Linked DNA regions of Tamandua tetradactyla. The protein of the gene in region 3 interacts with the protein of the main gene of each other region in a biochemical or structural test. Links are inferred from orthologs where the notes say so. Each region holds a gene or a part of one and is shown on either strand. Other genes may lie near its edges.

Region 1 (7,913 bases), on a different chromosome or scaffold from region 3:
TTCTGGAATAACTATATGTAGAATTTTGTGAGTTAATTATGAGATTTCAGCTTAGTGAGTTTTTGTGGTTGTGGCTGTATTTTGAGGGTGGGAATTGGAACTGAAAATTTGGAAATATTAAACTGCTTAGCTAATTAATTGGAAAGATTTCTCTTTAAAATGAAAAGATATTTCAAATGTCTATGTAACTGTGATATTAAGACTTGCTTTACCTCTAGAAATGCTCCAGAATAGGTCTTCTGAACAGTGCAGATTCCCACAGAGCAGTATTGCCATTCAGTCCATTTAAGATTGGCCCTGACTTTTTTCTTTCAATCATAATAATATTTTATGTGCTCAGACTTGGATTATTCTACACATCTGTTTTGTATTAGGTTCAGAGCTAATGAAAAATGGCACTGATATTTTATTTTTATTTATTTAATTTTATTACATTTTTTATGCTTTTTTTCTCTTTGGCACTGATATTTTAATACTTGGTGAACTCCTACGTACAGTCTCTACAAGATGTATTTTAAATTACTCTGTGAAAGACCGAAAAGCTAATGGGGGAGATAGATGTCTTTGGACCTTAGTTAACTCTCAAATGTAGCTTTCCATTCGTAAAACCCCAAATTATTTACACACCTTTTTGTTTGACACTGCACTCACATTTATTTAAATTTTAGTACATCTGAATTTTTTTTCAGCTAATCTTGGGTATTAAAAAAAAGGTTTTGTTTTATTCATTCCTCAAATGTTTCTTGAGGACCTCTGTTGTCCTCCGGCCGGTGGAGGCACTCACCGGCCAGCAGCACCACCTTCACAGGGTTATAAGTGGATGCGGGACAGCCTGTCCACCTGCTTGCCCTGTCACTAGGTTAAGGCAGCCTCGGGGACCCAAGCACACGCAGGCTGTGACTCAGATGTGCTGCATTGCGTTTCCCCAGGAAGCAGCTGAAACCTGGTAACGGAACACCTGGGCGGCGTCTCCAGCACTGCCCTTCACAGCCTTAGTAACTTAGGAAAGAACTATCTCAGTTCTTTTTTTTTAAAATAAACATGTATGTATATAACATGAGATTTATTATGGGAATTGGCTCCCATGACAATAGGAATCAGCAAGTCCACATTCCATAGGATGGGCCCCAAATTGGGAACTCCAGGTAGGTTTCAGTGAATTCCCCAGGAGAGGCTGACTGGCTGGGGTAGAGAGAGACATTCTTTCTCCTCTCTTGGTTCTTCCTCTCTCGCACAGGAGAGACCATGCTTACTCCATCGGTGTTTCCAGGATTTCCGTGGGATGGTGTAAATGAGAATACCTGGCACCATGCCTCATCTGTGGTTGGTGCTTGGTCAGTTATACTGGGGTCCAAATGGTGATAAGGGTCACTTGGCTGAGGCTTTGGTAAGGCAAAGGGAGAAACAAAAAGCCATGGGAAGCCCAGTAGCGACGATGGTGGCCCTGTGTTACTGAAAGTGGGAATATCTTTTTTCCCTTTGTTTCTTTGTCTGGGCTCTCTCTGAAAACAAGCAGGTGAGACTTGGTTCAGCTCCTGGTTTGTCTGCCTGCAGGCAGTGGGATCTGCTTCCCTCTCATGGGCCCAGGACCATGTGATAGTTACACATCCTGGGATTGTGAGGATTAGATGAGATAAAGTACCTTTGATATGTCACAAGGCAGTAGTGCCTAAGAAGCACACAATAAGCTACTGCTACTATTTTTTTTTTCATTATTTTTATTGTCATCACTATAATTATTGTTCTTAGGCCTTAGAGATTTCTGTGTAGACTTTTGTGAGGGAGTGGCCTTGGTCCACAGGTGTGGGGATGCCTTTTGCACAGGAATTTTAGGAACTCTTTAAAGCTCTTCGGGATTACCCCTTCTTAGGTTGGTTAGAAGAACAACCTGGAGCCTTTTCTTCTGATGTGCCTAAATATTAGGGGCAGAAAAGTATAGACAGGAACAATGGAAAATTTGATTTAGTAGACATGGGATTCCAGAAGAGTATTCCCATTACACAATTGAACTGAAGCATTTTCAAATATCATTCTATTACTATCCCTTATTTCATCTTTGGAATGATTTTTATTCATCTTTGAAATACTGTTTATGTCCCTCATAGGTAAATCCATCTAATCACAGACTCCTGTTTGAAGTATTTGACGAAAACAGATTGGTAAGTGACTTACTGCTTTTGTATTTTGCTTAAGTTTTTAAAAGCTGAATTTTGAGCGTTACATCTTTGAGACTGTATTTATGTTGCACTTACGAAAGTATATATGCCCAAACAGAAGATTATTTTTGCCCCACCTTTGTTTAAAGTTCATAATTCCAACAAATATTTTCTTATTGCTAGGGTAGAAAGTTTATGTGTTTTTATCACAGTAAGTATTAATGAAAGTCTTCAGTGCTGGCATCAGGCCATTTTTTGTGCTGAAATGTGGGGACACCAGAAGAGTACAGGGATCTGAAAAGAGGCCATCTGTACCTGTAAGCAAACCATTCAGGGTTTTAAAATTCAGGCCAAAATGTAACACTGTAACCTATTCAAGAGGTTCTAAGGTGGGTCTCTTTGGAGAAACAAAAATCCAATTAACAGTGTAGAGCAAAAAAGTGAATCTGTATTTAGCAGAAAAATTTAAACTGTATTTTAAAACATGGTACTGTCTCAAGGGAGACTCTTAGAAAGTATTTTTAAAGAACCAAAGATATTTCTGAAGCATATAACCAATATACATTAACATTTTGGAATAGAAATTTTAGAAAGCAAATTTGGCTTAAGGTAAGATTTTAAGGAAAGTTTTGTTTTCTTTAACTACAATATACACATCAGATTCCCATGAGCCAAGTGTTTTGATGGTAAAACTGAGCATTGTCCTGAGAGTATTTTTTACTCTCAGAAGTGGTGTTATAACGCAGGTCCATCAGTATACCTTCCCTGAAACTTATGTGTCTTATCTGGTTAGGGGAATGTTCGTATAAGCCTTCCTTTTGGCAGAATTTAACTGAAACACCAGATTTTTGAGTGGCTTTATTTTAATGAAATATTTGGTCTGGAGCAGTGTTATAAAACAACTTGCTCGACTCCCTGTCGTTGCAGGTGAGACAGCTGAGGTCTGGAGCTTTACACCATTTAAACTGGGCGGTCAGTGAAACTAGTAGTGGTCGCACTGAGGCTGAGCCTGCTGGTTGCCCATTTCTCAGCCCAGGGGTGGTGAAGAGCCAGGCCTTTCACCTTCGTTAGGGTGTGTTTGATCTTCTTTCTGCACGTGATAATATTCTCCAAAGTAGACACATTCCGACCTGCCATTCTGATATCTTTCCTTTAAAAATATGTGTGGATTCCTTGGTGGATTTGCATTGAATTCAATACTTAGTACCTTGGGTGATATTTAATAGTACTGAGGAACTAAATCACTTCCCATTCTTGTTAAATTGAGTAGGAGAGTGTGCTGGGCCTCTTTCTTAGACCTCCGACTGTCCAAGTCAGTGAAGACTTTGAGTCAGTGCTCAGGGGAACAAAAATAAGTCACAGGAGATGTAGATTCACCCAAAGACTAATCCTTACTCTCAGGTTTATTCGGTACAGTAACACTTCTTCAAGGTGAAGAAAGAGTCAAATTTCAGGAAAAATTGCTTCTTTTCAGATGTTTTAATCCATTATTCAGATTTCTTCTATAAAAAAATTATTTCCCATTTCTATTATCTAAAATAATGTGGTTGGTGAGCTGACCTTGTCATGAGTTCTAAACTATACTTCCAAACCAAAAAGGGCTTTGAGTACAAATCTTTAAGAAATCCTGTGTAAGCACAAGCTTTATCTGAAAATTTGTATTTTACAATATTTAACACCTAACTCTTCCCTAAGCCGTCTACAGTGCTGTTACTATGCAATGAGTGCTGGTGGGGGGTGTGTGTGTGTCTTTGTTGGCTGTTAATCCATTTAAGACAATACGTGACTGTCCTGATACTTGGCAGTTTCAACATTAAACAAACTGGCTTCCATTTCTCTCCTAAAGGTCATTTTTGGCATTTAAAACACATATCTTTAGCAATCAGGTTTGGACGTGTGTAAATATGGGGTTAATCATCCACACCCTTGCCTCCAGAACTGTTGACAAAGTCATGCTTTGCAGATTTTAAAATAAACGTTTTGTCACTCGTTGCAGCTTGGTATTCTGCCCCTCCTAAATAAACCTCTTTGTTAAATAACCCACTTACTGGATTACGGAAAACAGTAAGTTTGAAACACATAGAGCATTTCCAAGTTAACTACAAAGTCTGTGACAGTTTTTTGAATGTCCACTTTTACTTTTAGTTCTTATGTCCCTTTTAGCCCTTTGCAAACATAGCAAAATTCTGTATTAGTATTGCAACTCTGGTAATATTGCTAATTCTAACTCTTCTGGAAGGCATTCGGCTCCAGGCATCATTTCTTCTATATGGTATTTAACTTAAATTAAAACAAAAGCTGCATGCACACTTCTCTTTAGTCTCCCCCCCCCCCCCCCTTTTTATTTTTGGTTTTCTCTCTCTCAATTGGGAGGCAGTGTTTTCTCCAGCTGGGTTTCCTTTTCTCTGGTGCTGCCGTGCTGACCATCTTATAGGTAAGATAAGCACACATATCTTTTAAATGAAAAATGTTAGTGTAGAAGCAGAGGGGGCCATGCCAACTGCCAGTGCTGGAAGTCATGCCCCTCCTCCTGTAGATGGGTCATGGTCTAATTATTTAGTGTTAAAGGGACACTAATTCAGTGGGTGTGTAATCTTATTTATAGTATGTTTTGTTTTATGTTCCATCATATTAACATGATGATATTATAAATAACAGAGAAATTTAACATCCAATATTTGTGCGTTTTCTTGCTTCGCCTGATTTTTTTTCATGTTTTTTTTACAGGGAGGTTTGGTGGGAGATGGTGGGGGTGGAGTGGGGACGACCACATATGAGCTTGTGTGTTTAATGCCAGGTCCCTCGCATTCGCTGGAGAAAGTCTGAGTGCTCTGCTTAGTTGAAAAGAAACGTCCTGTGAATGTGATGTGGTTCAGATTTATAGCCTCGTGGCTCAGACTGTGTTTGCTGCCTTAGTCAGCTGCGAGAGCTCCCTGCTGGGGCCACTCCTTTCTGATGGAAAAGCAGCAGCTGGGAAGGTGCTGTTTCAGGCTCTTGTTTAAAAAAAATCATAGCGAGAAGGGGGAAAACTCCACTAAGTCCACAAGCTGGCATTGGAGGGCGAGAAGGCCGTCATGTGGTTGCAGCCACCCTACCCTCTGTCACAGCGCCGATGAGAGCTTTTTGCTCTTATCCAATCCTGCCTGGAATGCCGCTGGCCACTTGGGTTATTTCTGCTATCTGCCGCTATTGGTTCTGCGGTGCTAACAGTTTGGCAGATGGGACACTTTTTCTTGGAGTTGATGTCTCTGGTTTTTGACGTCTGGCAGTGCTGGGGTTGTGGCTGCTGCTCTCCCTCTCCCTCCCTGCCCCCCGTTCACCATGGCCCATCGGCTTCGGTTTCATTTTGGCTCTGGTCGGAGCAACACAGCCCCCGAATCAGAGATCCTAGACCAGGAGAGAGACGATGACTTCTTCATGGCATTCCACACTCTACCACGGAGAAGCAGCCCCCACCCGTTCTCCCAAAATGGAGGGGAGTGTGGTGGTGGCCTGGGAGAAGGAGTGGGATCGCTCAAGCGGAGTACGTCCATGTTTATCCCTCAGCTGCCGAATAGTATCGATGCACGTCCAACCAGGAGCTCGTCCGTCCAGATCTCCCTGCAGCGCAAAGCTGTGAACGGACACACCGACGACTGCGTGCCGCCGGACTCACTTGAGGGCGGGCTTCTGTGCACACTTTCGGACTTCAGGGAGGATTTTACCACCCCAGTGAGAAGATCGTCTCAAAGCAGCTCCCAGGAAACCTCAGAGAGAGAGACCCCGGAGAGTTCTCCTCCAAGGATATCCAGGGACTCTGAACAACAGGTCAATGGAACTGGTCCTTGTGGCCACCGAGTGCTCTGTGCAGTTCCTGCAGAGCTCCAAGAGGATGCCATGCCCTCAGCCACCCCAGGGGTGGAAGGCAGTGGAGCTCCTGCAGGGCTGAACCTTGGTGGGGTCAGGATCCAGCACCGTGCTTCCAGTGCAGACACGCGCCAGGTGAGGCTGATGCCGTTGGGGTCCGAAGGACAGAGCAGCCCCTCTGTACCTGAGCCGAGGCGCTGGTCCCTGCAGCACGTTCCAGATGTTTCTGGTAGTCCTGGGAAGCGGTGCTTTGTGTTCCAGTTGCAGCAGTCCCAGCAGGGTGGTCTGGGTCTGGGTGGTGACTGCAACTTTGGTTTCACTGGCACGAAGGGCAATCGGTTGGTGAGGTACCCTCGTATTCGGCTGGAGAGGAGCACGTCATACCCCACCCAGCCCCGAACTGAACGAGTGAGCCCCACAGATGACCAGGGGCGTTCCGAGATGTCTCGCGGCAGCAGGATGACTCCAGAAATCCACAGGACGAATTCCATAGAGAGGACTCCACAGGGTCAAGGGTGTATGTTTAAGATCAGGCAAGATCAAAATGCAGGGCAACAGCATTTCAGAATTCTTGTAACTCGGGGGCCAGAAGAAACTCTCCAGAATCCTGAGGAGGATAATGCCAAAAGTCCTGGCTTGACAGTAGCAAGCGCCACGGTAAGTGAGCTGTGTTTACATGGGAGAGTAGGTCAGCAGGGGCTGATTCATACCCAGAAAGCTTATTCCGCAGTGTAATTAAAATAAACTTCGTCCTCAGCTTGGGGAGTTCCCCACCTTGGTCCACTGTAGCTTAATGGCTGGCTGCATTCCGTGACGATGATTTGTGCTCCATTGGTTGGTAGAGATCCATGAAACCAGTGAGCATTTCAGAAAATCTTGTTTGTGTACGCCTTCAAAGTCAAGAGCTCTGTTTTGAAAATTCAAACAAAACACCCTTTTTTTTTTTTCCTTCCGGATAAAAAAATTTTAAGAATTTATTACTTTGAATTCATCTGCCAAAACGCAAGCCAGTGCCTCAACATGTTCATGTTGGAAACACATTTTAAAAGTTGCTTGCCAAGATAGCCTAGGACAACATGTCCTTTACAAATAGTTCTAATAAAGGTAGTGGATATAGCACAATACTTGGGTTTAGTCTCCTAATTAAAATAGTGTGCTCAAAGTTTGGGTCTTCCTAAAGGACTTTTTGTTTTGCAGGGGCAGGGTGGGGGTAGTGGTGTTAGTTTTTCTTATGTAATTCATTTTCTTTGTTTCTGGTCCCATGAAGTAATGCTAAACAAGGGTAGTCGCACTTGTTGGACAGTGAGAAGTGTGTTTTTGAAGTAGGTGGACTTATGAACCCAGGAAAAGGCGAACGGTGATAGGGCCCCGTTAATGACCTGGTTGCATGCCTGTGGAACTTAACTCTGCCCACTTGAGTCTCTAAGCCAGGGATGCTGTATATAGATTAGTAAGTGCCCTGTCTCCAGCTGTGGAAACAGACTCCCTAGACAGATTTTGGACTTTCCTACTTGTGTGTTCTTATTCTCTTCCTTTCAGTGAAATGGAGTACCGAAAGATAGCTGCTGACTCCAGGCATGTGATGACTTTGCACTTGTGTAGTTTATAGTGAGATGGAAAGTTTAAATCAGGTTTCTTTTACTAGGAGTCACTAGCCATTGAGTGCTTTCTTAAAGAACAAGCTCTTTGTATATTGAATTGAATCTTTACCCCTGAATGTCATGTGATTATCAGTCTGAAGATATGATTATGAAATATCTAGGGGACTTTCTTTTCTGCTTGGATTTCTCTTGTGAATTGCCAGTTTTCAAAGTGGGTGGCTGTTATTCTAGAATTGTATCATCTTTCACTGCTTTGTGTTCAGAAATGTTTTTTTGCCATTCGAGTGAACTTTATCACAGCTCCATCATT
Region 2 (7,006 bases), about 41 Mb from region 3:
GAAATAATTGGAATAAAAATCATGTGAAAGGTATCTTGTGTCTGATGTCTTAAAATTACCTTTCATTATGTTAAATGTATAGCTTGGCCCCAAAAGGACTGCTGTTCCCAAATGTGGCAGACCTCAGAGCACCCTTCAAGAACAAGCCCCTACTGCAGAAAAGCAAGGCTGCTTGGCCTAACTCCTGCAGTAATTCAGTAACTGCAGTTACTGCATTGCTCTGGAAAGAGAAAAGGAGGGATAAAGGAGACAGGTTTCCAATGCAAAAGCAATGCCCTTCTTATACTCATACCTTGAAGCAGGGACTAATAGTGGAAGGCCAGCGCACAGGGTCCTTGAGAATGAGGCTGACCAACTCAAAGATGCTTGTGGTATAGAAGGGAGGGGTGCCTACAGCCAGCTCATACAGTATGCAGCCCACGGACCAAAGGTCTGCTGTGTGGTCATATGGTCGCTCCTCCACCAGCTCTGGAGACATATAGAGTGGCGTGCCTTTGATGGAAGTTAGCACCATTGTGTTGGTGCTCATAGCCCGGGCAAATCTGAAAGAGATAATAAAATCTAGACCAATAAAACCAGACCTGCTCACTGACCACCTATCATTGTGTGAAATATCCCCAAACTAAGCAGATTAAGTCCCAAAAGACCCAGCAGGAATACCAATCTCTAGCTCAGATTCTAAAAGGAGACCTAACTAAGTCAAGAACATGGTCTAAGACTCCTTGCAGAGCTGGAAGCATAGATAGAAATTTAGAATACCCACCCAAAGTCACAGAGCTTGATGCCACCACCCTTGGCAAGGAGGATGTTCTGAGGCTTCATGTCTCGATGCAAGATGCGGTGGGAGTGCAGATAGTACAGGGCTGACACCAACTGGGCAGCAATGGCCTGGACCTAGGGACCAAGCAGTCAGGCAGGAAGAGAGGCAGGAGGAATAAGCCTATTGTAGAACCCAAAGAATCCTCCCTAATTTGACTACTCATGTGATCTTTTCCTCCTCTCCTTTCTTCCAGAGCTTCATACTATACATTCCTTAGTTCTTGCTCTTCTTGTTCATTCATTGCTTCATTTGTTCATTCATTCATTCAAGGAAAATTTATTGAATGTCATCACTAGCTGTAAGGCCACAGGCACATTGTTTCATTCCTCTAAGATTCTTCATTCTTACAGTGAAAATAATGATACCACCCATCTCATGAGATTATTGTGAGGGGTAAATGAATTAATGCATGTAATGGAAAGTAATGCTGGGGATGGTGCCTGGCATTTAGTAAGCACTCAACACATATCAGCTGTTATTAAGTAAAATAAAGTTCCCACTTTCAAAAGAGGTAGTCAAACAGGTAAACACAAAATGAAAGAGGACCTCAAACATTGATGAGCACTTGGAAGGAAATAGAGTGCTGTGCACAGAAGCGTGCCTACTTGCTAGAGTATAGAGAAACCCTTACAGTGAAAGTGGTTAGAGAACGTGTTCAACCAAATCCCACCATCAACCACTACATTCTAGTGGTGAATCCTGTCTAATTACAACCCTTGTTCCTTACTGTAGTGTCCTCTATGGCACCACCACACTGGTCCTTCTTTCCTAAAGTTGAGAAACGATGATGATGACAACATTAACACTAGCTACCTATGTTGAATACTATGTGTCAAATACCGTTTTAAACACTTTACCTGAGTTAATTCAATCTCACAACACTATTATTATTACCATTTTACAAATGAGGAAATGAAAGCTCAACGAGATTAAGTAATTCGTCCAAGAAGACCCAATCAAGAAGTGGCAGAACCAGGTTTTAAATCCAGACATTTTGGCTCCAGTGTTCACATACTTTATATATAACTAGATTATTGCATTCTTCTCAGGAGTATTCAAAATGGAGAGCCACCAAATGCCCTCAGCTTTCTCTACCAGTCTTTAACCTGGACAGAGGCTAGGGCAGAGAGAAGTTTGAGTCAGGTAACATACCTGATCTTCAGGAAGTTTCCCGTCATCTTCCAGAATTTGAAAGAGCTCTCCCTCAGCATAATCTGTCACCACCACCACCTGCAAGGAGAAGGCAATGGTGCTGATGGCTCCAGATTCATGCATCCTGAGGGTGGAAAATTCTTGATTCCCTTGTGGTGGGGAGAAGTGACCCAAAACCATCAAAGCGCACCTCTTTGTCAGTCTCAAAGCTGTCAAGCATGTGCACAATGTTAGGATGCTGCAGACCCCGCATGATTTCAATTTCTCGTTGTAAGTTCCTCAGCTCCTTCTCTGAACGCCCTAATTTTGGAATGAACTTCAGGGCCACCACCTGTCAGTGGTAAGGTGAAGAGTCAAGACCTAACCACACTATTGAAAAGAACCAGAACTTCAGCATTAACCTTGAAGCTCTAGAACTCAAGGTTCCCTAGTCTTACCCAGTCTTCCTCCACCCCTCACCCCAGGAGGAAACTGCCTGTCACGCAGATCCCTTTGCTTACTTTAGGACAAACCTAGGAAGAAAGTGGATTTTGGGAGAAATGTTCTCATTTGGGAAAAAAACTCAACATTCATAGGATTTAGGAGAAAAGGAAGCATGAAAATGAGGGAGGAAGAAGAATTTGGGTGGTTTATCTCTCTCTTACTGCATGATAGAAAGTAATAATAATATTTATTATTATTTACTATAATACTAATATCTATTATCATTATAGATAATAATAACTAATATTTATCTGTTTACTAGTTGTCAGGCACCGTACTAAGTGATTTAGTGAGATTTATCACGTTTAATCTCTAAACCCCATAAATTACATACGATTCTTATCCCCATTTTATAGGTAAGGAAATAGAGATTAAATAACTTGTCCACAGTTCAAATGCTAGAATGTGGTGGTGTGGGGATCTGAACCCAGACAATCTAAACGCAGAGTCTATTGACTCGCAAAATGAGTCAATGCCTTAGGAAGATGGGTCAGTATGAATACTTCTCTTCTGGTCTTTTTTTCCCCACTGATCCTCCCTCTCTTGGAGTCTGGGGGTAGGAATCCCACCCAAAAGATATCCCTCTTGGTTCACCACCTGAGCACTGTATTTTCTTCGACCCTTGTACACCCTCCCAAAAGAGCCTTCTCCAATCATCTCCAACACATGGTACTTCTCCATAACAAGGTTTCAGGATCCCTCAGAAGGAAGGAGGCAGAGATGGTGGTGAAAGACCACAGCTGCAGGAACAGTTCCACACATCTGCGAGGCCTAGCTGGGATATGGGAGAAGGGTTAACTTCAGCCGTCCTGCCTTTTCCTCTTTCACAATAATACAGCCCTCAAATACATGGGAGGGTGGAATGGACAGAAAGATGAAGGACAAGGTCTTAAGACAAATGGACCATCTCCTAGATCTCCATCTTTTAGGCCTCCTTGCCCCTCCCTCACCTATTCCAGAGATCATCAGACCCCGCCCCACTCGACCCAGCCACGCCCACCAAACCTTCCACCCACGCTGGGCTACCCGATCTCTCCACCCGTCCCAAACCGCGACCTCCTGACCCCTCCCTACTCGACACAGCCTCGCCACTAGACCCTCCGCAGTCAACTCCCATCCCCTCCCAACCTCCCTTAGGTTCCATGCCACTCACAAACTCCCCAACACCCCCTTCCTAACCCCATGCCCGCACACAGCGCAGAAGAAATCTCCTTTCTTACCCCCAGCCCAGGAGCTTCAAGCCCCTTAAGCCGAGGGACGCCAGCTCTGGCCTCCAGCCCCGCCCCCTCTAGCTGCCGACGTACTTTGCCTGATTTATAATCCTTTTCCACCCTCACTGCCGGTTTCTTTAGACGCTCACTCTTGGCAATTTTACTCACTAGCACTAGATAGAGTCTCGGAAGACACGGCGTTCAGAGGTATGGGCGAGACAGTGACCTACCCATAGGCACTTCCTAGGGCACTTCCGAATCTCTCTTGGTCATCAGGCCCCACTAAGGACCCGGAGTCTACGGTTGCCTAGAAACGCCGCTAGACGTTCTCCTCTCAAGTCTCTAGTCCCCGCCCCCCCCCTTTAGCTTTCTGCCTCCCGACCTCCCCAAGAACATTTCCGGTTCCGGCTGCGGACTGGAGGAGATATGGCGGTGTCTGAGTCGGCAGCTGCGGGGGAGGAGGACTGGTAACTTTGGGGAAATGGGCATTGGCTGACTGCCTGGTTTAGCGGTGGCCGCGGAGGGTTCTTACGGCGGGCTGCTGAAGTAGAACGAGGGCTGAGAGATAGCACAGAAGCTGACATCTCACCCTAAGAGAGCGTCTGGACTGGGGAGCGGGTGGGTGGAGGGCATGGGTCATGGTAAGAGGAAACTGGGTCTGGGCCGGGTCTCATCTGATTCGATTTCTTCTTCCTTCCGGCTCCATTCTGTCCATCCTTTTGAACTGCATTTGCTCAGGGGTCCATGGGATGCCTGCTCATCAGACTCCCCAGCACCTCCCTTGTACCTCTGGGAGCCAGTGCCCTACGGCTCGTGTATCACTTCCCTTTGGATCAGCTTATATCCGCCGAGGCCTTTCTTAACCTCTCCTTCCCCTACAGCACTAATGAGGAGTATGTCTGAATAAAGCTTTACACCTTACACAATCTTTCCTAGTCCTTATCGCAAGCATTCCTAACAAGAGACTAGAACCTGGAAGGACTCTTGAATTTGGAAGGAGGATCAGTGTGGGTTTATTACACATTTTATTAGCTTTGTAATGCTGATCACCTAGCTTCTGTGAGTCAGTATCTTCAGCTATAAAAAGAAGTGGGTGTGGCCTCTACTGCATAGAATCCTTGAGAGAATTAGTATGGGTTTGTAACATACATATGCTTCCTTTTCACTAATAACTCTGAGGTAAAGCAGCTGAGGAGATTAGATAAGAGATGAAGTGATTTGCAAAATGTACATATTTACAGCTAGGGATGCAGGTTTTTCTGACTACAAATCTTACAATACTAGGGCATTTCACAGTCCTGCTCCATACAGGCCATCCACGGCTCAAGTCAAAGCTAGGGTGGGTGAAGTATTGAAGGGTGCACAGAATGAGACTACATAGCTCAGCATTTCATTGGTTCAGGGAACCCAGTCACTGCTGGCCTTTGTTGACACTATCTGGGTTAGTGGTTTTCAAATTGTTCATTGGAACATTAAGACTCTGAGGAGACACCTGAAGCCATGTAGAGGGCAGCAGTAGCTATAGAAGCTAACCTGTGGTGCTCTGAGCTTCCCATTCCCATGTCAACCAAAAAACTCCACTGTTAACCTATTTTATATTTTGGGATTTCCACCTAAGACTGGGAAAGAAAGTCTTGAGGACCACTAAAATATAGGCCGTATTACAGCAGTCCTGCTGTTGGTAAGGAGGAAACAGTATAACTTAAGAAAAAGCAAACAAATGCATGCATCTTTCCATGTATTACCTGGGTAGAGCTCTGGACTTCAACCACTCATCTTCAGTGTTGCTGTATAACTCTGCAGTTTCTGAGATTAAATATATATCGTCTTATTTCTAGCCAGTGTCATAAATATATCTAGAGTTCTCTGCTGACTACATCCTTCCACCTTAAAAAGAAGGGAAATGGAAAAAAAGAGGACATAGACTCTGTGGCCCAGATTCTATTAGACACTTTGCATACACAAATCACCTTCAATCCTAACAGTAACCCTAAGGATTGGGTGTTATTATCCATATGAGGTAAACAGAGCAACTCGGTGTACAGAGATAAATAACTACCTAGATCATGTAGCTGAGTGATCTGTAGCTATGACTGACCCCAAGTCTTATTAATAACTTTTCCACTACAACATAGCCTTTATACTACCTAAACCTACGGTCCTGTTCAGATTGGTATCTCCTTTGAGAAGGCGCTTGGGCACTGTCTGAGATCTGTGTTCAATAGTGGCGTGCGAAAAACCAGGAGTAGCATTGATTACTTTGATGCTGTGAATGGACATCATGTTTCTGGGTCAGAGAGGTGGCTGCTAAGGAACAACCAGCACTGGAAAGAAACTTAAATGGGCAGTCAAAAAACCTTGCATTGGTCCCAGTTAGTCTTCTATTAAGGCTTGAGATTGAGGTATTAAACCTCTGTGCCTCAACTGTTGGCAGAAATGATCTCACAGATTCTGATTTCCATGCTTCCTACCTTGCATCTTGACAACTTAATGCAGCTTATTTCCTTTATTTTTATCCTTAAAAAATAGCAAGGGAATACATATAACGGATTGTCATTTTTTCCTATAAAGCCAGCCTTCATTGGTCTTAGAAGTGATCTCACAGCTTCTGATTTCCATGCTTCCTACCTTGCACCTTGACAACTTAAGGCAGCTTATTTCCTTTATTTTTATCTTTAAAAAATAGCAAGGGAGTGCATATAATGGATTGCCACTTTTTTCTATAAAGCCAGCCTTTATTGGCCTTAGCAGGCTTCAGCAGGGAGAGCTGTAGTGTTAAGCCAGTCTCCCCCTGTCTCTCTAGGGTCCTTCTCTCTGAAGTTGAAGTGTTAGAGTCTATCTATCTGGATGAACTACAGGTGGTTAAAGGAAATGGCAGGTACGTATTCAACCAGGGGTGGGCAGGAGCCCTCTTAGTAATGAGGTGAGAATTCCATATAGAGAGTCTGGCCTTAAGACACAGTGAGCCTTGATTCAGAGATGTTTCTCATGTAGACAAAAGTTGTTCCTTTAATTTTCCCAAAGGTGAGCCAGTGCTTGCTTCTTCTGCCCCTTTACTGAATCACTCCCATCCTTCCTAGCCCTTGAGCCCCTGCCTGGTCACATCCCAGGTCTCCACTTCATCTACCTACAGATCTTCACCATGGGAGATCTGTATAACCCTGCACCCTGCCACTGCAGAGGACCAAGACTCCCAGTATGTTTGCTTCACTCTAGTGCTTCAGGTCCCAACACAGGTAAGACCCCTCCTTTGTGACAGCAAAGGGAAGAAGGGGAGAGACCATAAGTGGAGCATTTCAGCAATAACTTGTTATCTTCATCCACTAGTATCCCAATGAGG
Region 3 (7,363 bases):
TTGTCTAGTGTGTGTTCCAACTTAGGGTGTGTGTGTGTACGAATGTTGGGAAGCATAGCCGATTTTTGTACCTGGTTAAATACATGTTTTCTTCTATGGCTTTTTTTCTGCTGCTTTTTAGCATAGGCTATCACAAACTCTCTCTATTGATTTTAAGAACTCAATCATATTTATTCTAATAAAATTTTAAAAATCTTAAAAAAAAAAAACGATTTGTTTTTACCAAATCTACATCTCTACATTTATTCACATATTTTTTTCTGTGTTATCAAAACAGAACCTGCTCATTAATGAAAAATATGAAAATACTGAATATAAAAAGAAAAAAAAGGTTATTCATGGTCCCTCTAAAATATAAGCATAGTTATCATTTTGGAATATTTTCCTTTCAGACATTTTTTGTTTTGCTAATTTTAACGATATAGTGTTTATTCACTCAATAAATATTTATCGAGCACTTACTTTGTGCCAAATTCATTGAGCCAGCATCTGACTTTACAATAATGAAAATGCACAAATTCTACTCTCACTGACGTGTTATAGTCCATTTTTTATGACTATTGCATGCTTCTCATATGTATTATTTCCTTAATTGCAAATTTTATTGCGTGGGTGAATCTGTTTGTTTAATCCTTTTCCTATAGAGGGACATTTACAGATTTTCAATGTTATTTTTTTCACATTCAGATACATTTCTAGTAATGGAATAACTTGGTTAAAGTTTAAGGCTCTTGGCAAAAATTTCCAAATTGCTTTTCAAGAGGGTTGGACAAGGGCTATTTTTTGCCAGCAATTATTACGATCATTAGAAATTGTTTTTGCTGTTTTGTTAAGTACGTCATTTTAATTTACATTCTCTGATAATATGTAAGGCTGAATTTTTTTTACAATGTTAAATAAATGCATCTCTTTTTGAAATTTTTCTGTTCATGCCTTTTTCCCTATTAAGGTGCTCTTGTTTTTGTTTCAGTGTATCAAGTTCTATATGGAATGAAGATATGACCCCTTTTTGGTATCTACCCTCCCTCAGGAGAAAAGCAGAAAATGATAACTGAATCCAAGAAGTCAAACTGAGGCTTATGCATCTGTATAACTCCAGGGCTCAGCCCAATGCCTGGCATGTGACAGGCTTTCCACACATGACACAGTAAAGGAATACTAGATGTCAAGCCGCACTTTGAACTCTGGTGTCCAGAGACACTGAGACAAACATTGGCAAAAATGGCTTTTTAAACTAAGACTGGGCCAAGAACTGCCTTTCTAGTAAACCAACCCAGTTTTTATGTGTAGAAAGAAAAATGTTGCAGTCAGAGGACAAAAGAATACAAGTACTAGGGAAGCAACGGAAATGGCCTAAAAAAAGAAGGGGGTAATATAAAAGGATATTAAGGAAAGTTACTGAGTGGCAGGAATAAATAAAAACATTCTGAAATTTAAAAAATAATATTTATTCCACATTCATTGTGTAAGGTCTGTTGCTGCCCATGGCAAGCGATTTTAAAAAGATCTGTAGCTCCATCCTAGCTTACACAGTCACTTAGTTGAGAAACTTCTTAGACAACTCAAATTATGTATTTCTGTATATTTTCTGTAGACACACATATACATGCTTCAATGTATGTAAAACTCCGAGATCTACTGAAAGTCTCAGGAGAAAGCATCTCCTAAACTCCTAAAGGATTCTGGAGTCTGCCTTGTCCAGAACCCAGCCTACCTTTATAATAAGGACAGGTGCCTTTGGTTACACATTCGGTGGGAAAAGGGAGAGTAGGTAGTTGTGGCAATATCTGTTAGTATTGTCTGTTACCTCTGCCCCTCTTTTCAGGTTTGTGATGGAGAGACTGGCAAGATTCCATTCCAACACAGGAGACTGAGAAAAAACAACTTTCTTGTGTGGCTGGTATCCACATTGTCTGGCTATTTTGAGGACCTTATGAGAAATTTTTAATTATATGCTTTATGAAATAATTTGCATTAGGTCAAATTTGTATGCCCTCAGGAATGCGTATAATCATGATCCCCAATTTTAAGGATTGACACTGCAAAAACAAGAGAGAGCTAAAATAATTACAGAACAGGGTGTCCTTTGAGGAAGAAGATCACTTTAGAAACTACTTCTAATTGATGAGATGCTTCTGGTCAAGGTGGTGATGTCATGCTACCTTGGAGTAGTGCTGTGATTTGTAAAGAACCACTTGAATTTACCCTGTTAGGGCAATGAAGGCAATTGGGCACCATTTATCAATATCAATATCCACTATGGTGGATTCCATATTTCATTCCATTTTCCCATCATTTAGTAGTTGAATAAATGTTGAGTGGAACTTTCATCATGAGTCCAAACTGACTGAAGAATTATGGCATTTTCCAGCAAAAGTGGACTTAGAACCTTTGATACAATCTTCTTTTATATATGAGAAAAAGTAAATTGGAACAAGTAACTTGCTTGAGGTCACACAAACTATTAAGGATTAGAATCCGGTTCCTTTGCTTGGAGCCCAATATTATTTCTTCTGTAAAAGATGCCACCAAACACAGCTAAACATCTTTATCTCCCGATCTCCCTGCCCCACCCAAATCCGATCAGCAATTGGCCCTTTGGCTTGAAAGCTATTTCTGTAATAGTAAATTTCCTGAAAGAACCAATTTTTAACATATAATTTTCCTTTAACATCTCTCCATTCTGAACAGAGCAAAGCCCAAATGCCAAATGGGCTGGCTTATGCTATAGAGTCACATAGGGTAAAAGTTGGGGGCAACCTTCTGTCTATATTTTCATTAATAAATTGCACCCTTCGATCCAGCCGAATTGAAATGCTCGTCCATACACACGCCATGTTCTTTCTTGAGACCTGTTGCTCATCCTAACTGGAATAGGAATATCTTTCCTTCTTAATAACCTAGTAAGTTTTAATAATCCATTCCTCTTCTGAATTGAGAACTAGCACAGAGGAGAGGAATCTGGCTTTAATCCCACACAAAATAAGTGAGTGTATTTGGTATGTCCAGCACCTGGTACAAATCCCTCAACAAAGTTCATGGAATGACTGTGTCTTTGGAAAATTACAGAAATGTAACTTTACAGGTCAGAGTTGTAAGTATCCCTTTATCAAAACTTTTCTATTTAGAAGAAAAATGAGTAAAAATGTTGGCTCATGCAGTCTTTTTTTTTTCGTTTCTTTTCCTTCTAATTCCTGTTCTTCTGCTATGACTGCCATTCTCTCTGTGAACTCCACATTCTCCCAGCACTCGGGCCCCTGGAAACTTGTGGGAGAGGAATCCGCAAATTCCTTTAGGGCTCCATCACTGGAACAAGTTCTCAGTAGCTAGAGGAGGTCTGGGCTGCAAACAGGAAGTTTTTGTACTTTTGGCTAGTTTGTGCTTAGGGTAAAAACAGAAAAGTCCACCTGGAGACTCTGTAAGACAGAAGTGTAGAATAAAACTAGACTCTACTATTCCCACTACTTCTCTCAGTGTGGACATTCTGATCCAGTCTGTTTCCAGAACTGGTCTCTGGTATGCAAGTCAGAACAGCTTAGCAGCAAAGTGTCAGGTTTGAGCCCTCAAACTCTCCTCCCCACCTTTCTAAAATGTTGAGCAGGATATCTGAAAACTGTTTTGAATTTTTAACTTTTCAAAGCATCCGAAGGTCAGTTTCCTTTGAGTGCGACAACTGCGGGCTTGGGGGTCAAAGAGAAGCAGAGGCTGGTCCCCCAGTCTCGCAATACTTTCTTCCCCACTAACGTCCCCGATCCCATCCTGCCCCTGCCCCTAACGAGGGAGAGAAGGCAGCTATCTTCTGCCTGTCCCAGGCCTCATCACCACCACCCGGAGTCTTCCAGTGCTGAGGGGGGCGGCAGGGGACTCCCTGCCACGCGTCTAGGGCCCTTGCACAGGGGTTGGGGCCCAAGGGTCCACGTCGGCCCCTGAGCAGGCAGAGGAGACAGATCCAGCCTAGGGATGACCACGGCTTTCCCGCCCCTAAGGTACCCTCGCCCCGGGTAGCCCAATGGGCAGCCTCGCCCCGGAGGCAGGCGCAGGCCGGAAGCCACCCCGCGGCTCAGCGGCCCCGCGAGACGGCGCCCGCGCCCCCGCCCTCTCTGGCGCGGACTCAGCGGACTCTGCCGACAGGGGCCAACCCGCCGGGTCCCCGCCGCGCTCTTTGTCCTGGCCGCGCGCGGGCGGACGCGTGCGCCCCCCGGGTGAAGTGAGGCGCGAGAGAAGGCGCGGGAGCGCGCAGGAGCAGCTCGCGCCCGTGGGGCGCCGGGGGCGCGCGCTCCTCCGCCAGGCAAGCAGCGAGCACGCGCGCCGCCGCCGCCCCTCCCCCCTGCTCGGCTCGGAACTTGCTGACTGCGCCGCCGGGAGGAGCTGAGCCGGGCGGCTGCGGCGGGAGGCCACAGCGCGCGGGGGTCTCCCGCGTCCCCTCCGCCTCGTCGGGAGCTCGCGCCCTCGCCCCGCGGAGCTCCCAACACCCCCCCTCCCCTTTTTTTTCCCCGAAGGCGCTGGGCGGCGCCACCCTCCGGCCGGAGCCCGGCACTGCACAACCCCCTCCGACTTTCAATGTTCCACACTCCCCGGCCAGAGCCTCCTCGGCTTCTTTTTTTCCCTCCCCCCTTTCCCCCCCCCCTCGGCTGCCTCCATTTCCTTAAGGAAGGGTTTTTTTCTCTCTCCCTCCCCCACACCGTAGCGGCGCGCGAGCGGGCCGGGCGGGCGGCCGAGGTAAGGCGTGGGGGCCCGGGGGCCGCGTGCGGGGCGGCCGGGGCGGCGGCGGTGGGGGAGGGGGCGGGGGCGGGCAGCTTTGTTCGCGCCGGGCGCCCGCGCCGCCGGTGTCCGCGAGCCGCGGCGGGGACGGCCGGCTGCTCGCATCACTTGGCGCCCGGCGCGGCGAGCGCTGCCCGCGGCCCCCGCGCGGCCCTCCCCACAAAGGGCCGCGGAGCTGCGTGGCCGCCGCCACCGGCCGCGGCTCGCCTCCGCGGGCGCGGAAATTTGTTGCACTTCTTGGGGCTTTGTTTGTTTGTTTTCTTCAGATTTTTTTCTCTCGCTATTTTGGACAAAATGTCCGTCCGTGATGTAAAAATTGAGCGAGGTACCGTGGTGGCATTGGGAGCTTTGCAGAAGGTGGTTTGGATTCTGCTTTTCCCAGGGTGTCAGCTCGGTTTTGGCCGGATGAATCTTTGCTGCTGGCCGTGGAAACGGCTAGAGTAGCTTGTTAGTTGATTTTTAAATTTCTAAGTGTTGTGATTAAAGGCTTACACACACACAAGAGGAATCGCCACGTTAAATAAGCATATGGGCGATTAACAGGGTATGTTTTCCTTTCAGAAAGGGAATTTGGTAGCTTTGACCAATATCACTGTGTAAATATTTAGACGTTATTAGTGACTTTTTAACATTTTTCAGCGCGATCTGTTATTTACAGTGTGTCATGTGTTATTAATGCTCGTTGCCTAAGTTCCCTGGCAAATCTGTTTCATGCCTTCTGAGAAAGTAGACAATTGATAAATTGTCCAAGGGATGGAAAAAAATGTGAGTGGGTTTTTCAACTTGAGTTCGGTAAAAAATCCTTGAACGCTGGCGTTGTGAGACATACCAATTCCCCTGTAACCTTGCTGTACGATGAGATGTGTGAACATTTTTGAAGCTTTTTTCATTAAGTTACTATTTTAGGTGAATATTAAGAAAAGAAAATGCTAGTGGTTTATTCTTAGACTTAACATTTCCCCTTTTTTTCTCTCTCTCTCCTTAAAAGTTTTCCAAGAAATAACTTCACCAAGATGTCCAGTGACAGGCAAAGGTCCGATGATGAGAGTCCCAGCACCAGCAGTGGTAGTTCAGATGCGGACCAGCGAGATCCAGCCGCTCCAGAGCCTGAAGAACAAGAAGAAAGAAAACCTTCTGCTACTCAGCAGAAGAAAAACACCAAACTCTCTAGCAAAACCACTGCTAAGTTATCCACTAGTGCTAAAAGGTAATGTGTAAAAGAAGAATTAAGCACATTGTCAGGTTGTCTTCCAAATGATTGGACACTTCCATTGGTTTTTACATCAGCAGCAGTAGTTCAAAAACATTTACTTCATGATCAGTTTTATTTGCACTTGACACTTGAATGAGCCACCTATACTTTAGGTGGTATATAAACTACCTCCCTCAAATTGTACTTCTTAAGCAAACTTGGTCTGCATTTTGGTAACTTCAGACAGTGTTTCTTAGTAGAGCTTGGATGAACATCCTGACAGACTTTTTAAAGAATTTGTGAAGGTTAATTTGGTGAACCCAAATTAGATGGTGCACTGGGAGTGTTTCGTTTTTGTGAGTCATACTTGTCATGAAATGGACACTAAAAATCAGCATGAACTTAAGTGCTCAGAATTATCACATCTGCTAAAAAACTTTTACATTCAAGGCCTTGGCTGTGTGCTAAAGCGGATTTAAAATTGTCCTACAGATCTGTCTTAAGTTTTATAAACCAGATTTTAAACTATGCATCCCAGATATTACTTTTTATAGTCAAGTTATGATTGTCCCTCTGTTCTTGTGAGGACAAGTAAAACTTGAAAAGCAGCCATTTACAATTTTAGGTGTCACTTGGCTAACAGTGGAAGTTTTCAATAGCCAGATTTTCATCATCCTTTTGACTGGTTACTCTAAAGTGTATAGATATGCTTGACACGTTAATGCTCAGCAGCAGGAGAAGCATTTTGTTGGTTCCAAGTGAGAGGTCATTTGTTCATGTTGATTGATATTATCTGTGATGGACAAAAAAATATTTTGTTAATGGGATTCCATTAGTGATGGTAATTGAATACCCAGGAATTTTAGTAAATATGTGTACAGAGATACATCAGATGTATCTATAGCATTAGCTATTTTGACATTTTGTTGATCACAACTAAAGTGCAAAGAAAATAGAAAAACTGATCAAATATTTCATTCTGTAGTGATTCAGAAATACTCTTTTCTGTAGATTTTTACTATCTTCTATCAATCAGGTATTAATAACAAGAATTCTTTTATTAGATGATAGCAGACTTTGAAGAATTCAATTGTAGTCTTGTTGAACATGTTAAACAAATCTTGTTTTGAAAGCATGTAAAATTTGAATAAAATGAGAGAACTGCTTTTTATCTCCTTAATTCAAGGCTACATAGTATAACTTATTTTCCTTGAAATATTTTAAATTTCAGCACTTTTTTAAGATTAGGGAAACATGCAATTAAATAAGATTGCTAAAGAGCCCTTTGGAAGTTTTTCACTGATGAAAATATTTGTAAATTTTAAACTTTTTTTAGCAGATAAAATATCATCAAAACTACTTCCATGTTCTTAAAATAGCATGTTAATTCTTACCTCAATAAAACTGACT
Region 4 (6,859 bases), on a different chromosome or scaffold from region 3:
ATGTATGTCTTTAGCCCACTGTAAACATTATCTAAATTATTAACACTGCTCTGAAATTTTCTCTTCTAGTCCCCCTATCCCCTGACCTCTGATATAAGGTCATGAAATGATGTCACAATTCACTTCCTGCTCCAACTTTGTGAGAATTTCCCTTACCTGGTTCGAGGAGCCTCTCATTTTTGCATCTGAGAGATCTCCAGCAGGATTCTCTCTCTCTCTTTTTTTGTATTTAAAAAAATGTTTAATATTTTTTAAACATAAGAACATACAAACATGAACATTCTTACCATATGATCATTCCATTCTTGGTATATAACAAAAAACTCATAATATCATCACCATGATGATTTCTTAGAACACTTGTATTAATTCAGAAAAAGAAATGGAAAGAAAAAAGAGAAAAACTCATACATACCATCCCCCTTACCTCTCCCTCTCATTGATTGCTAGTATTTCCATCTACCCAGTATATTTTAGCCTTTATTTCTCCTATTTTTTCTATACCCCTGACCACTCCCTTTCATTGATCACTAGCATTTCAATCTACTCAATTTATTTTAACATTTCTTACCCCATTATTTATTTATTTTTAATCCATATGTTTTACTCATCTGTCCATACTGTAGATAAAAGGAGCATCAGACACAAGGTTTTCACAATCACACAGCCACATTGGGAAAGCTATATCATTATCCAATGGTCATCAAGAAACATGGCTCCTGGAACACAGCTCTACTTATTCAGGCACTTCCCTCCAGCCTCTCCAATATACCTTAACTAAAAAGGTGATATCTATATAATGTGTAAGAATAACCTCCAGGATAACCTCCCGACTCTGGAATCTCTCAGCCATTGACAGTTTATTTTGTCTCATTTCTCTCTTCCCCATTTTGGTCGAGAAGGTTTTCTTAATCCCTTGACGCTGAGTCCCAGCTCATTCTAGGATTTCTGTCCCACGTTGCCAGGAAGGTCCACACGCCTGGGAGTTATGTCCCATGTAGAGAGAAGGGGAGGGCAGTGATCCAGCAGGATTCTTGTTCTGACCTGAGCACTCTGAGGTAGGGTTGTCATGCATTTTGCTCTTGGTTTTATTTCCTTTGGTTAAACTTGAATACTGATATTAGCAAATGGCTTTGGAGACTCTTATTCCTTCCTTTCCATCTATAAGGCATATGTTTCTGGTTTGGGTACCTATTACTGGGGTAGTTGGTTTCTTGTTATGTGATAATATCTACAGTACAGAAAATTTAGGAGTGATTTTTTTTTAAGGAGGGATTATTTGCATTTCAAAAGTTTTCTGTCTACGGCAGCCAAGTGAGACCCACATCCCTTCCACAGGCACCTTGATTGACCTTCTTTCATTTCCTTCCCCTCTCTCCTGGAAACAGGACTGTCTACATAATTTGCAATGCCCAGTGCAAAATGAAAATGTGGAGCCTCAAAGTCGTAAGAATCAAAGAATTATAATAATTCAAAAATTATTAAGAATTTCAAGGTGGTGGTGACAGCAGTATGTTAAGTACAAGTGCAAGATCCTTCTACACATGAGTGCTCCACACCCCGGCTTTTGTAATGCAATTTTGTTGAGATATACTCACACACCATACAATCCATCCAAAGTATACAATCAATGGCCATGAGGACCTTTTACCTACAGAGTCCTGGGCAACTGCAGAGGACACTGGCCCATGAAGCGACCCTGCAGGAGGCAGTGGTAATGAACAACAGAAGCTTTAGAATCCCATAGGCTTGGGCTAAAGTTCCAGCTCTGTAAGTTCCTTTTTTTTGGGGGGGAGAGGGGAGGCAGGGAAGAAGTATATGATAATAAGCAGGAGCTTATTAGGTCATTAAGAGCAAATTAGACTCATGGTTTCGGAGGAGCAGAAGCCAGCATCCCCATGTCCCATGTAAGTGCTGAGAACAATGCTTTGCATCTGATTTTAAAATCTGAGATATAATTTACATACCATAAAACTTATCCTTTAAAAATATGTAATTCAGTAGACTATGATATATTCACAAAGTATATTGATCCCCAAAAGAAATTCAGTGCCCATTAGCAGGTACCTCCCATTCCTTTCTCCCCCAACTCCTGATAGCCACCTATCTTCTTTCTGTCTCTATAGATTTGTATATTCTGAACATTTCATATGGAATCATACAATGTGTGACTTTTTGTGAATGACTTCTTTCACTTAGTCAAATGCTTTTGAAGTTCATCCATGTTGTAACACTTATCAGTACTTCATTCCTTTTTTTGTGGTTGAAGAATATTCCATTGATTGGATACGTAACAATTGTTTTATCCATTTATTAGCTGCATATTTGGACTTTTTTCCACTTTTTTGCTATTATAAGTAATGCTGCTATGAATATTCATACAGAAGTTTTGTGTGTGAACATATCTTTTCAATTCTTTTGGAGAGATATCTGGGTGTGGAATTTCTGTGTCATATGATAATTCTGTTTAACTTTTTGAGGAACTGTTAAACTATTTTCCACAGTGACTGCATTATTTTACATTCTCACCTGCAATTTATGAAGTTTCCAATATCTTGACATCCTTGCCAACACTTACTTTCCTTTTGAAAAGATTTTTATTATGATGGCCATCCTAGTGTGAAGTGGTTTCTCGTTGCGATTTGATTTGAATTTTTCTGATGACTAATGATGTTGAGACTCTTTTAATGTGTTCATTGACTATTTATCTACCTTCTTTAGAGAAATGTCTATTCAGATTCTTAACTCATTTTTAAATTGGGCTGTCTTATTGCTAGGTTGCAAGAATTTTCTATTCCTTATCAGATATATGATTTGAAAATATTTTCTCCCATTCTGTAGGTTATCTTTTTCTTGATAGTGTCCTTTGCGGCACAGCTTTTAATTTTGAGGACACACAATTTATCTATTTTTTTTCTTTTATTGCTATGCTTTCATCAGTGTAATATCTAAGAAACTGTTGCCTAATCCAAGGGAAAGAAAATTTACTCCTATGTTTTCTTCTATAAGTTTTGAAGTTTTTTAGCTTTTATATTTAGGTTTTTTGGTCTATTTTTAGCTAATTTTTTTTATATGGTGTGAAGCAGAGGGCATAGAATTTTATTTCATTTTATTTTTGTCTTTGTATTTTATTTTTTAAGGGCATAGAATTTTAATGCCCTCTCAGCCTCTCTATAATCAGGCGATCTTCGGTAATTAAAAAAAAAATTCTCTAAGTCTTATTCGTAAAGTGAAAATAGCAAATAGTTCCTAATTATACGGTTATACTAAAGATGAAGAAAATGTACCCACAGCATTTTGCACAGTGTTTAAATCACCCTAATTGCTCATTGTCAAAATATGAGCTGAATTAATGCTTTCATGTGCAGTGCCAGGAAAAGTTTAGCTTTTCTGAGAAAGTAGTCAAGGTAGGGGTATTTTTTCCACAGGCAGCAGAACTTCCCTACCAGTCCCAGTCCGCATCCTCAACTGACCGCTGGCCTCATGGTGACCTCTAGGAATTGGTTAAAAAAAACAACCATCTGGAATTCCAGGTCTCCATTTCAGATTTACTGAAAGAAATCCTCTGAGCGTGAGGTCCCAGAATATGCAGTTTTTAAACGTTAAATATAACACATATACAAAGAAGAGAAAGAAAAAGCAATGCTTTTCAAAGTACACTTCGAAGAGTAGTTATAGAACAGAATCTGCATTTTTATCAACTTCTCTAAAAGCATATTAAAATTTGCAGGGCGGTGGTGGGGCGAGGGTGGTCGCGCCTGCAGCACCGCCTCCGGCCTGCGAGGGGCGCCGGAGGGCCCGGGGCGATCACGGCGGCTGCGCGGAGCCATCTCCTCACGCCGGCTACCGCCTCAGTTTGCACGGCCTCAGTCGGCTCCGCCCGACCCAGCTGACAGCTCCGACGGCGGAAGAGGCGGCGCGCGGGTTGAGGCGGGCGTCGCTAGGCCGGGCCGGCGAGTGGTGGTGAGGGGGCCCGGGCTAGGGTGGGGAACGGAACTCTTGGACCCGGCACGGCGAGGCGGCCGGAAGGTACGGTGGGGACCGCGCTCCGGGCGCGCGAGGCAGGAAGGGCGGCCGGGCCGGGACTGCCCGGTGGGCCTCGGCCCCCCAAACCCGGGACGGGCTCCCTCTTCCCGCAGCGGCTCAGACTCTCCGGGGCGCTCACGGAGCAGGAAGGGAAAGATCCAGTCCCTGCCCTTTCGGGACACCCAGGCGAGCCCACGGCCGGCGTGCCTGCACAGCGCCCTCTGTGTGCCAAGCGCTGAGGCGGACAACGAGGTTGAGGCCTGCCTCAGGGTGTAGTTTGAGTCGCACAAACAACGACTCAGCACGCCTGGCGGCCGGCGCGCTAGTGGAGACCCGGGCGGCGGCGTGCTGATCCGGGCGAGGGCCCACCCCGGGCTGGAGTCCGCGAGGTGTGGCCTCGCAGTATGAGTAGTATTTTCCCACGCCGAAAGGGGACCCGGCCAAGAGGGGCTTCCCACACTGGTGTGGTTTCCCATTTGTCAAAACGAATATTAAATTTGAATGAGCTAATGCCGCCGGGTTTTATTCTCATTGCGGTCTTATAGATGAAGAAACAGCGTGGTTTGACTCCATACTTAGTTTTGTTGCATGTGTGACCTTGGGCCACAAGGGAACCTAAACTGATATTTTTCCATTACTTGTTATGGATTTAAGAATAGAGTTGCTTCAGGTGGTGGCATGAGTTAAATGCACGGATTTATGCATTTTAAAGGGTTGAACACCATGTGCCTGACACAAACCACTAAATATCACTGTTAATTGTGACCCACCTCCAGCTTATAGAGGGATGTGGCAGAGTGATGACTGAGCCTATATATCTGTTCCCCCATTCCAGCACACTGCATTTCATTCCAGTGCAATTTTTTCCCAGTGTCTTAATGCAGGACACTGCTGGATACTGAAATTAATACACAGATAGAAAAGACTTGGTCCTCCTTGAGCAACTAAGGCGCGAGAGGAAGTGCCAGTTCTTAAAACTACTGTAATGCAGGTTCGAATGTGTCAATGTCTTAGGAAAGTAACAGTAAAAAAGTTTGGATTTTAAAGAAAAACGTGATGTCCAATTGGGAAAAAATGACATGGAAGAGAAGCTTTGGAGGTGGGCCTTGAAGGCTAAGTGGAGAGAATCAGGTAGAAGAAAATGAAGGTCAGAGCCCTGAATTAAGGGGTCCTGGGTGGCAGCTTGGGAAAATGAGGTCTGGTGGTATAGGTGGTGAGCTATCAAAGGGAAACAGTGCTTGGAGCAGAGGTTCTCTACCTTAACTGCTTACTGGAGTCACCTGGAGAGCTTGGAAAGCTACTCATGTCTGGAGCCACTCCCAGAGATTCTGTTTAATTGGTCTGGGGTATGGCCTAGGTATTGGGATTCTTCAGAGAAGCTCCTCACGAGATTCTAATGTGCAGATAAGATGGAGAACACTAACCTAAAACCAAAAAACTAAATTCATCTCTCACATTATTTGTAAATGTTTTAGTAGGAAAAAACAAATAACTTAATCGCATTATCACCATGTTCTACTTCCTGGTAAATAAGTTTAAATAAGATAATGTGAAAGACCTAATACACTATATATTGGGTGCTCAATAAATGTAAATTGATTCAGAATCTGATTCTTAGCTTATTTGGAAATCACACATCTGAGAATCTGTTTAAAATTTATGGCTTCATATATTTCAGGGTGTTCATAGGACTCTCCATAGTCCATCTGTGGATCCCACTCCCCCACCCTCCCGGTTAAGAACCCTGGCTTTAAAGCGTTTAAATAAAACTGTTTGTGTTTGTTGTATTGTTTTGTTTTTTAAAATTATCCTGCTGTCATGCTTAAGTTAACCTTACTTTGAGTGTCACTGGCAGGATTGAGCAGGAGAGAGGAAAAACTGGAGGTAGATGGGAAATTAAGGAATAGAAGAAACAGAAGAGGAAGGGAGAAAAGAAAAAAGAATCAACCTCCCCACCCAAGAAGATGTTTGTCAAGAGACATGGCATCCTATCTTCTCCTATGACCTTGGGGTTTCTCCTCAGCTCCTCCCAGCACTGAGGGCTGTCAGATAAGGCCTCTGTCATTGCTAGAGACCTGCAAATGCTGGCTGTGCACAGGCTGTTCTAGGGGAGTAGTATGTAGCTGTAGATTAGGCTCAAGTATGTGGTAGGATGTATAATACTTAAGTAGTGATATTGGTAATTCACAGTTTAAATTTGGAGAGGGTCATAACATCCTTTCTGCAGAGGACAGGATTTCTGTAGTGTGTCTAGTATGAGTCCCACCTCTTGGTCTCTTATCCAGCTTTAGCAATTTCATCTCTACTGGCTGGAGAATAAATGGGATTTGCATGAATTCCAAACACCCTGAACTGAAATATAGACCTCAGTGTTAATATTCTTTTCTTCTGATCATCATGAACAGGTACAAATAGAACATGTCACTGTGCCTTAGATAGGGAAGCAGCTTAAGCAGAACCATTTCATCGGCTTGGGAACATTTATTTTTTGAAAATGGAATAATTTAAAATGAATTTGTTTAAATGAATTGGCACCTTTTATAATGTGAAAAATCATGTCCTAATTGTTCAGTTCTGTATATTTCAAGTTTTAAAAATATTTTAGTTAGGAAGCAGCATATTTGCAAATGCAATTATAATCCAATATTTTAATTGACAGAATGGTAATTCTTTTTTTGTTAAAGTAATTTTCATAGATTATCATTGCATATTTTTTCATGTTTAAATTCTCTGAAATTGTTGCCGCATCTTTCAGTCACTGTGATAAAAAAGCATTGACTCACACTTTAATTGTATATTTTCATTCGTTGTGTTACCTAAAATAATAGTAAAC

What was found.
Region 1: the proteins of UBE2E3 (region 3) and NEDD4L form a complex in vitro, tested with the Homo sapiens proteins (3 studies listed by BioGRID). The link is inferred for Tamandua tetradactyla from reciprocal best matches to the Homo sapiens genes UBE2E3 and NEDD4L.
Region 2: the proteins of UBE2E3 (region 3) and RNF25 form a complex in vitro, tested with the Homo sapiens proteins (2 studies listed by BioGRID, with this or other methods). The link is inferred for Tamandua tetradactyla from reciprocal best matches to the Homo sapiens genes UBE2E3 and RNF25.
Region 4: the proteins of UBE2E3 (region 3) and RNF14 form a complex in vitro, tested with the Homo sapiens proteins (2 studies listed by BioGRID). The link is inferred for Tamandua tetradactyla from reciprocal best matches to the Homo sapiens genes UBE2E3 and RNF14.

Annotation. Positions count from the first base shown.
Region 1 is NC_135344.1:24,078,139-24,086,051, reverse strand, and holds the start of NEDD4L (E3 ubiquitin-protein ligase NEDD4-like), read left to right. Parts: upstream 1-4,897; 5' UTR 4,898-5,477; coding exon 5,478-6,659; intron 6,660-7,913. UniProt on the Homo sapiens protein: E3 ubiquitin-protein ligase that mediates the polyubiquitination of lysine and cysteine residues on target proteins and is thereby implicated in the regulation of various signaling pathways including autophagy, innate immunity or DNA repair.
Region 2 is NC_135329.1:194,206,882-194,213,887, reverse strand, and holds the start of RNF25 (E3 ubiquitin-protein ligase RNF25), read left to right. Parts: upstream 1-3,984; 5' UTR 3,985-4,092; coding exon 4,093-4,133; intron 4,134-6,469; coding exon 6,470-6,544; intron 6,545-6,799; coding exon 6,800-6,902; intron 6,903-6,993; coding exon 6,994-7,006. Other genes in the region: STK36 (serine/threonine-protein kinase 36), read right to left, coding at 293-542, 764-894, 1,973-2,050, 2,163-2,303, 3,053-3,136. UniProt on the Homo sapiens protein: E3 ubiquitin-protein ligase that plays a key role in the RNF14-RNF25 translation quality control pathway, a pathway that takes place when a ribosome has stalled during translation, and which promotes ubiquitination and degradation of translation factors on stalled ribosomes.
Region 3 is NC_135329.1:153,626,191-153,633,553, forward strand, and holds the start of UBE2E3 (ubiquitin-conjugating enzyme E2 E3), read left to right. Parts: upstream 1-4,346; 5' UTR 4,347-4,719; intron 4,720-4,977; exon of another isoform or gene 4,978-5,118; intron 5,119-5,156; exon of another isoform or gene 5,157-5,305; intron 5,306-5,749; 5' UTR 5,750-5,774; coding exon 5,775-5,968; intron 5,969-7,363. UniProt on the Homo sapiens protein: Accepts ubiquitin from the E1 complex and catalyzes its covalent attachment to other proteins. In vitro catalyzes 'Lys-11'- and 'Lys-48'-, as well as 'Lys-63'-linked polyubiquitination.
Region 4 is NC_135346.1:22,075,371-22,082,229, forward strand, and holds the start of RNF14 (E3 ubiquitin-protein ligase RNF14), read left to right. Parts: upstream 1-3,849; 5' UTR 3,850-3,963; exon of another isoform or gene 3,964-4,029; intron 4,030-4,057; exon of another isoform or gene 4,058-4,415; intron 4,416-6,859. UniProt on the Homo sapiens protein: E3 ubiquitin-protein ligase that plays a key role in the RNF14-RNF25 translation quality control pathway, a pathway that takes place when a ribosome has stalled during translation, and which promotes ubiquitination and degradation of translation factors on stalled ribosomes.